Macaca fascicularis: one gene and its partner. The protein of the gene in region 2 purifies or fractionates together with the protein of the main gene of each other region. This does not show direct contact. Links are inferred from orthologs where the notes say so. Each region holds a gene or a part of one and is shown on either strand. Other genes may lie near its edges.

Evidence for each region.
Region 1: the proteins of NUFIP1 (region 2) and ZNHIT6 purify together in Homo sapiens (affinity purification with western blotting; 3 studies listed by BioGRID and IntAct, with this or other methods). This does not show direct contact. The link is inferred for Macaca fascicularis from reciprocal best matches to the Homo sapiens genes NUFIP1 and ZNHIT6.

What each region holds. Positions count from the first base shown.
Region 1 is NC_088375.1:148,943,980-148,947,901, reverse strand, and holds the start of ZNHIT6 (box C/D snoRNA protein 1), read right to left. Parts: upstream 2,809-3,922; 5' UTR 2,660-2,808; coding exon 2,004-2,659; intron 889-2,003; coding exon 823-888; intron 737-822; coding exon 630-736; intron 545-629; coding exon 459-544; intron 1-458. UniProt on the Homo sapiens protein: Required for box C/D snoRNAs accumulation involved in snoRNA processing, snoRNA transport to the nucleolus and ribosome biogenesis.
Region 2 is NC_088391.1:24,178,978-24,182,899, reverse strand, and holds the end of NUFIP1 (FMR1-interacting protein NUFIP1), read left to right. Parts: intron 1-945; coding exon 946-1,062; 3' UTR 1,063-3,333; downstream 3,334-3,922. UniProt on the Homo sapiens protein: Binds RNA.

The DNA of each region.
Region 1 (3,922 bases), on a different chromosome or scaffold from region 2:
CAGGTCTTTCCTTTTACTTTTGTCCCTACTTGGAATAATCTTCCTCCAAATGTTTTCATGACAGCTTCTTTCTCAGCATTCAGATCACTGCTTACATATCATCTCTTAGAGAAGCTTCTCCTGACCACTGTATCAAAAATAGTACCCTGACAATCTCTCCCCAACAAAGACCATTTTCATTCTCTCTTTAATCTCTTGAGCCTTCTTTATCTTCTATATGAACTTAACTCTACCTGAAATTACATTTGTTCCTCCACTCATCTCCTGTATCTCCCACTAAATACAACTCCACGAGTGGACAGACTTTGTTTGGGTCACAGTCATATCCTTAAGTAATCAGAACAGCTCTACATCATGGTAGCCACTTAATATATATTATTTGGTAAGTTAAAAAAAAAAAAAAGAATCTAATTGATTTGAAGGACTTCTAACTGGAAGAAATTAGGAAAAAATCTTACATGTTTATTGCTTATTGGTCTTTTCAAAAAAGCATCTCTAGAAATATGGTCCGCTGTTCTTGCCACATCTTCCAAAAATCGATAATCTAAAAATTTCAAAACAGAAGAATAAACAAATGACATACACCAATGGCCAGAAAGCCTCAATTTGCTATGCATAAAGTGGCTTACCACTTAGGAGATTCATTTCAGTAAACTGTTGTATTGAAACGTATGCAGTTTTATCTCGAACTCCATTACATGTCAGTTCTGCTTTGTGTTTCTTTACACAGGGCAAACTGAAAAGACAAAGGGGAAGTACTTTTATACTTTAGGGTAAGAAAGGTACAGATACAGGTTAAAAGGTAGGAAGTTACATGTATACCTGCAGGAATATCGCATACAACGTGGACATCTGTACTTTGCTTCTTCTGTACCACAAGTTTCACACCTGCAAAAGCCCACATGTAACATTAAATTATCAAATATTAACTCTATTTATTTATAAACTTAGAATGTCCCAACTTATAAACTTAGTGACAAGTAACTCTGAAAAAATATTTGATAGCTGTTGAACATCATTTGAAAATTCTCTATGAAACCTTCCCAAAACAACTACATTTCCAATGTTGTTAGTGACATAACTCAGGAAAATGTATTAAAATGTTTAAAACCCATCTTGCTTTTGACTTCTTTTTCTACTCTAATCAGGGAATGAGATTATTCACTGATATTTTAACTTGTGATTCCTGGAAATGCGGTAATGATTTTATGTGTGTGTATCCAGGAGTCCAATCCATGAGCTATGTTTAGATATTTTTAAAGCACACACTAGAAAAAGAATATAAGGCCAAGTGAAATTTAGAGAGTAGTAGTAGCATCTTTTTTCCTGAACTCCACACCTAATCTAGAATGAGCATCGAAATAATCTATAAATGCCATGTAACCCATCGTCTGTCCTCAACTGCTCTTCTATGCTCTTGGGATACTGACAACCAAACTACAGTTACTTATATTTAGCCCACTGTGTTCTAGAAGGTAATATTCCCAAGAATCTGACTACTCTTATTTCCTTTGTCACATGATCCACACACTAAGGAAATTAAATCAAAAGCAATAAATATTCACAGCACCCATGCAGAAGCTTGATAATTGAGGTCAAGTGTAATTTTGCCTAATTTTAACTTACTCTACGTTGTCATTGTTGGTTTTATTACACTTTCTCATCTCTATTCTCTCTCAAAGGAATACCGAGTAAAGAGCATATTAAGTTAAGCCAGATCCAGTTCCAAATGATCTTTTGGTCCCCAGAATTTTCACTTTCCTAACTTGCCCATTACCCATTGGACACTACCAACTTCATATATTTTCACTGAATTTGTTGTGTTGTCATCCACAACACCCTCCACTTCCCAACCCACCCCCACGAACGCCGTCTGCCTCCAGAAACCCAAACTTGTGCTTATTTTTCATTATTCCACCTTCTCCTGATAGTGTGGTTTCCTTCACTCTAGACATGAGGATTCCACAGCTTTATTCCCCTAAATGGAATTCCCCATGCCCTACCTTGACATGGCCAGTTTCCGCTTGCAACCCACCGGGTGATTTATCGGAGGCTCTTCTTTCACCTTTGTATCATCCACGGTTTCTTTCTTCAGGAAATCCTTCTCTTCTTTTACACACTCTCCATGCATCACTTCCTCTTTTATGTATTGACCAACAAACTTCTCCTCCTGTTTTATCTCCGAGTTATCCTTCTCTTCCTTCACTTCTGACCAGTCCATTACCTCTTCCTTTACCTTCTCTTCCTTTACCTCTGGGTCACCCACCTTCGCCTCTTTTACCACTAAACTACTATCCGTCTCCTGCTTCACCTCCAATACGCCTGCGTTCTCATCCTTCACCTCAGGCCTATCCTCCACCTCCTGTTTTACCCACTGGCCAGCCAATCTGCCTTCTGTATCTGGCCAGTCCATAATTTCTTGCTTCACTACCGTTAGGTCCATCGGTATTTCCTCTGGCCTTTGTCCACTTCCTTTCTCTCCATCCCCTATCTCCTTCATCCCTGTCAGCCCTTTCCCCTCCTCTCCGCCGCCGACCTCCTCCGCCCGTGCTAAGTCCCTGACTTCCTCCCTGCCAGGCTCTGGACTTAGCCGCACCCCCTCAGCTACGCTGTGGAGGCCTCCCCCAGACTTCCCTTCATTTTCAGCAGCAAACTCCATCAACTCACGATACTTGGCCTCTGTTGCCACTCTATCCTTCAATGTGGCTGCTGCACACCAATAGGCGGAATTACCGATCGGAATACCTACAGCGGCCCACGTGCAGAGCCAAGTAGCCAAAAGCCCGGAATAGTCAGCTTGACGCGACTGCTCGAATCGCCGTAAAGCAACGCTTTTGCGCCTCGACACTTCACGACTTGTAGAACTCTTTACGGCTCTGCGGAGGCCCTGCCGGATGCTCTGGGCCAACAAGCGTAACTGCGTGACTTGCCCAGTGGTATTCTCGTCTCCCGCCTGGTTTCCACTACACCCTTGCCCTAGGGAAGCCTCCTGGGCCACACCCTAGGCTACCCTGCACGCCCTACTCGGTGTGAAGAGTGGAGGAGACCGGCAGAGGGAGAGAAGCGAAACCCTTACACTCTGGAAATGGGAAAACCCACCTTCATCTGTGTTAACCATTAAATCCAATCTTGTATGAAAATAGACACACCTGATGTTACGCCTTTCCAAGCTTTGGTTTCTTAAAGCTATAAACTAGGGACCATGGTATTATTAATACAAATCTCAGTGTCATTGCGAAGATTATGAGATCATGCATGGGAATTAACTAGCAGTGACGGACACAAACTCAATAGATAACTGGGAATCCTGATGGGTTTCAAGTAGGAAAGAGGGCATTAATTTTTGTTTCCATTCTTTCTAAGTAACAGCCTGACGCAGGCATTCTGCAGGATTCTGCAGCATTTTGCAGGATTCTCTCAGAGAACATCATAAATATATTAGGTGAAAGTGCCTAATGCCCGATTTTGCTGAGTTGCATTGTATGAATTGCATTGTATGAATGTGGCACGTTTTTTCATGCATGTACCAGTTGGTGGGCATTTGCCTTGTTTCCCGTTTAGGCTATTACGAATAATTCTGCTTCCACATTCATATACAAGTATTTGTGTGGACGTGTTTACATTTCCCGTAAGTAAATAACTAGGAGTGGAATTGCTGGGCCATATAAATTTATGTTAATTTTTAAAGAAATGCCCAAACTGTTTTCCAAAGTAGCTATACCATTTTACATTCCCACTGGCTGAGGGTTCCTGTTTCTCTACATCCCTGCCAATTCTTAGTATTATCAATTATTTGATCATAGATGTGTAGTGATATGTCGTTGCGAATTTAATTTACATTTCGTTAATGTTATTAAATTACATTTCTTTAATGACTAATGATGTTGAACATCTTTTCATGTTCAACTGGCCACTTAGATAT
Region 2 (3,922 bases):
GTTGACATTCTGTGAAAAGTCTGTTTGGTTTTGACTTACAAGATAAGTACTTATTTTGTAGCTAAAGTGTTCAGTGGCTACACTCTTGAGGTGCTACGTGTAAACACAGTTGCTTCCTATTAAAATGGATCTGAAATATACGCTCCATTTTGTATAGATAGTAAATTACATTTAAAAAGTTACCTTATAATCGGTAAATTAAGTAATCTTTCCACTGAAAGTTTCTGTATAACTCTGTCAATAACATCAGAAAATAAAATCCTTTTTGGCAAATTACATATGATTCCTTGATTATGTGTTTATTCTGAATACCAGGGATTTTTAGCTTTTTTAAAATACAATAAGCACAAAAATGGAAAGTTATAAAAGTCAAGGAATGTTGGAATTTTTTACTGCTACTTTCATTGTTACATGTAAATAGATGTACTTATCAGTTTCTAGACTGCTTATGAATTTGAGTTTGGGCAATCCTCTTTGACATTTTAGATTAAAGAATTGCAGACTTTTTAGCCAGATGTGGTGGCGCATGCCTGTAATCCCAGCTACTTGGGAGGCTGAGGCAGGAGAATCGCTTGAACCCGGGAGGCAGAGGTTGCGGTGAGCCGAGATCGCAGCATTGCACTCCAGCCTGGGTGACAAGAGCAGAATTCTGTCTCAAAAAAAAAAAAAAAGAATTGCAGACTATTAAATACTTTCATGTCCTATGCTAGATACTCTTAGAGAGGACTCCAAATATAAGCATTAGTACTGTTTAAAAAGCTAGATAGTCTTGATGTAACTTAAAAGGACATGTTCTTGCATTGTTTTTTAGCAAAATAGTAAATATAATATATATTTCTTATTGTTCTGTCTTCTTTGTGAGGAGAGGGTACATGCAGTATTTTAGATTGTATTTCCCAGATATAATTTATTTACCAGCTAATCTTTTTTAAAATTGTCTTTTAGCTTCTAGCTCCGGACATTCGACATGAAAGAAATGTGATTTTGCAGTGTGTTCGGTACATCATCAAAAAAGACTTTTTTGGACTGGATACTAATTCTACAAAAAGTAAAGATGTATAGGCGTCTGATGTTTCAGCATGCATAACTGAAGCATGTGAAACAGTATCATCCTCGTTAGTAGAGGAAAACCAAAACCCTTTTTTCCCTCAAAACTGGATTTGTAATTAAATTGTAAGCCTCATAGGGTGTATGTTGGAATTTTAAGTCTTTCCTTTGGTTCTATGCAAATAAATACATAACTGATTTTTAAGACTGTGTCCATATTGTTGGGATTGAATCTAGTATTTGCTGGGAGAATTTTTTCTTTGTATTTATTTTAATGTATTGTTCTCATGTAAGAATGACTGATGTGTCAGTTAAGAATTGAAGATAGGTTTAGCAGTAAAGAAGAAAACTTTTAAAAGGATTGATTCAGCTAAGCAAAGTTGGGCAGAGAAATACAGCCATTTTGTTTTTAATGCAGAAAAGGAAGATGTTCTGTAGCAACAGGGAATATTTTAAAAATAAACCAGATCAAATTAATACAGTCAGAAGGTTTCGAAATGTTAGTATTCCCTGTTTAAGACATGTTTAAATTCACCTACTAGCACGACTTACATAGCTCAAATATTGAATGTTTAAAATTTTTTTTTTTTTTTTTTTTTGAGACGGAGTCTCGCTCTGTCGCCCAGGCTGGAGTGCAGTGGCCGGATCTCAGCTCACTGCAAGCTCTGCCTCCCGGGTTTACGCCATTCTCATGCCTCAGCCTCCCGAGTAGCTGGGACTATAGGCGCCCGCCACCTCGCCCGGCTAGTTTTTTGTATTTTTTAGTAGAGACGGGGTTTCACTGTGTTAGCCAGGATGGTCTCGATCTCCTGACCTCGTGATCCGCCCGTCTCGGCCTCCCAAAGTGCTGGGATTACAGGCTTGAGCCACCGCGCCCAGCCTGTTTAAAATATTAATACAGATGGGGCCTCTGTTTATGTTTAGATACAATTGGAGTACTTAATTGAAACTTTTTAAAAATTGTAAAGTAAATGAAAGCTACTGAGATCTTTTTGTCTCCTATAATACCAGGGAATTTGAGCTTGTGTTCTAGTCATTGTACTAGCTGTAGCTATTGGTCTGCCCTTTTGACATACAGCTAAAAAGGACTAAATTTTTTTTTTTTTAATTAGTCTGTCATAGTTGAAGATTAATTTTTCCTAATGTTGTGATTATTGAAGTTCATGAATCTTGCTGTCAAGGAAGAAAGGTAAGAAATCTGATAGCTCCTCCATGTTGGTAAAATCCTCTCCAGAATCCTGGAACACCTGGCATGTGACCCTAGTGACGTCACAGACCTGGGGTGAAGATTCATGTTTAGCCAGTGTTTTCCAGCCTTGTACCCACCATACAGATCTGTTTATTCTGTTTCACCCTACTCCTCCAGTGAGCCCCATATTTTGGGAAATTATCTGCCTCATACGTTAATTAATTCAATTCATATAACACTGTTGAGGGCTTACTCCAGGTACCTCTATTGTGCCTATATTAAAGGTATACAAATAAATGAGGCCATGTCTGACTTCAAGGAACTCAGTTTAATTTTGATATATTCAAAGATGTGATTCCCAACCATCTCATCAGGATGAAGTAACTAGTGTTACAACTGAGTTGATACTCTAAAATATAACACAGTTTGCACTTTTATTACTAGTTAGCATATACATTTTACAGGCTTATGGTTAATAAATGAAGTCACGGACTCCTGGACTACTTTCACTGATGACCGTATCTCCAGGGATGTTGTTGATCCCCACACTGCCTTAAGGTGTATTATGTAAACAGTTTTCTTTTCCGTTTTTCTTGTTTCCTGATAATACATGTATTTAGGACTGAAAATACTCCTCTGAGTACTCCGTTGGCTCTATGTCTTTAGCTATGGTAACTATTGTTTATTTTTAATGGGTATTTCAGATTCAAAGTGTATTTAAAATTTCTAAGCAGATACAATATAACCTGTATGGTTTCTACCTTATGGAATTATATGGTCAATATTTGTAAATATTCTGTGAGTTTTGGGTGGGTAGAGGGGTGCTTTGCCTGTTTTGGGTACAGGTTTTTTTGGATTTAGCTTGTTAATTGTTCAAACTTTCTGCCTTCTACATTCTTATCTTATTGTTCATTTAATCAGTTTCTGAAATGTAAGCATTACATGACTATTGGTGAGTTGTGCCTTTTATAACTGAAATACTTTACTTTTTCTCATATCCTCTATAATTGACTTCTATTTTCCTTAATTAGTCAAACCAGCTCTGGGAAATTTAATCCATTTATATTAATTGAGATTATTAAAACATTTGGACTATTCCTGGCTGTCTTATTTTGTATTTTCTGTATATCATGCTTTCTTGTTTTTATTTTGTCATCTTATTGGCTTGATTGTTATTTTTTTTTCTCCTTGTTTTTCCTCCAGTGGTTTGGAAGTAATTAAACCTATTGCTATTTCTTTAGTGATTACCTTTTTTTCTTTATGTTTAGAGTTAGTTAGTAGCCATATCTTCCACCCATCTTCCAATTAAGTCAGTAACCTTAGCATTGTTTCACTTCCCCACCTCAGCCTTTTCTTGTGATGTAATCAGATTCAATTTTAGTTTTAGATTAATCTCTAGGATCTTGGCCTGTATGTGTAAATAGTTATTAGGCCACTATGAGTTTTACTGTTTTCTTCTGATTGCTTTCTCTTGCATCCCAGGATTAGTTTTCTGGTGTGCTGCTGCGTATCTTCAAGTAATTAAATGTTGAATCTTCAATTTAAAATTTTTTAAATTGAGTTACGGTTTTAGACTCAAAATCATTTTCCTTCGGAATTTTGAAGCTATAACAATCGTATGCTATTATCCAGTATTGCTGATTAAAGTCAAACACCAATCTGATTACCTCTCTTTATTTATTGATA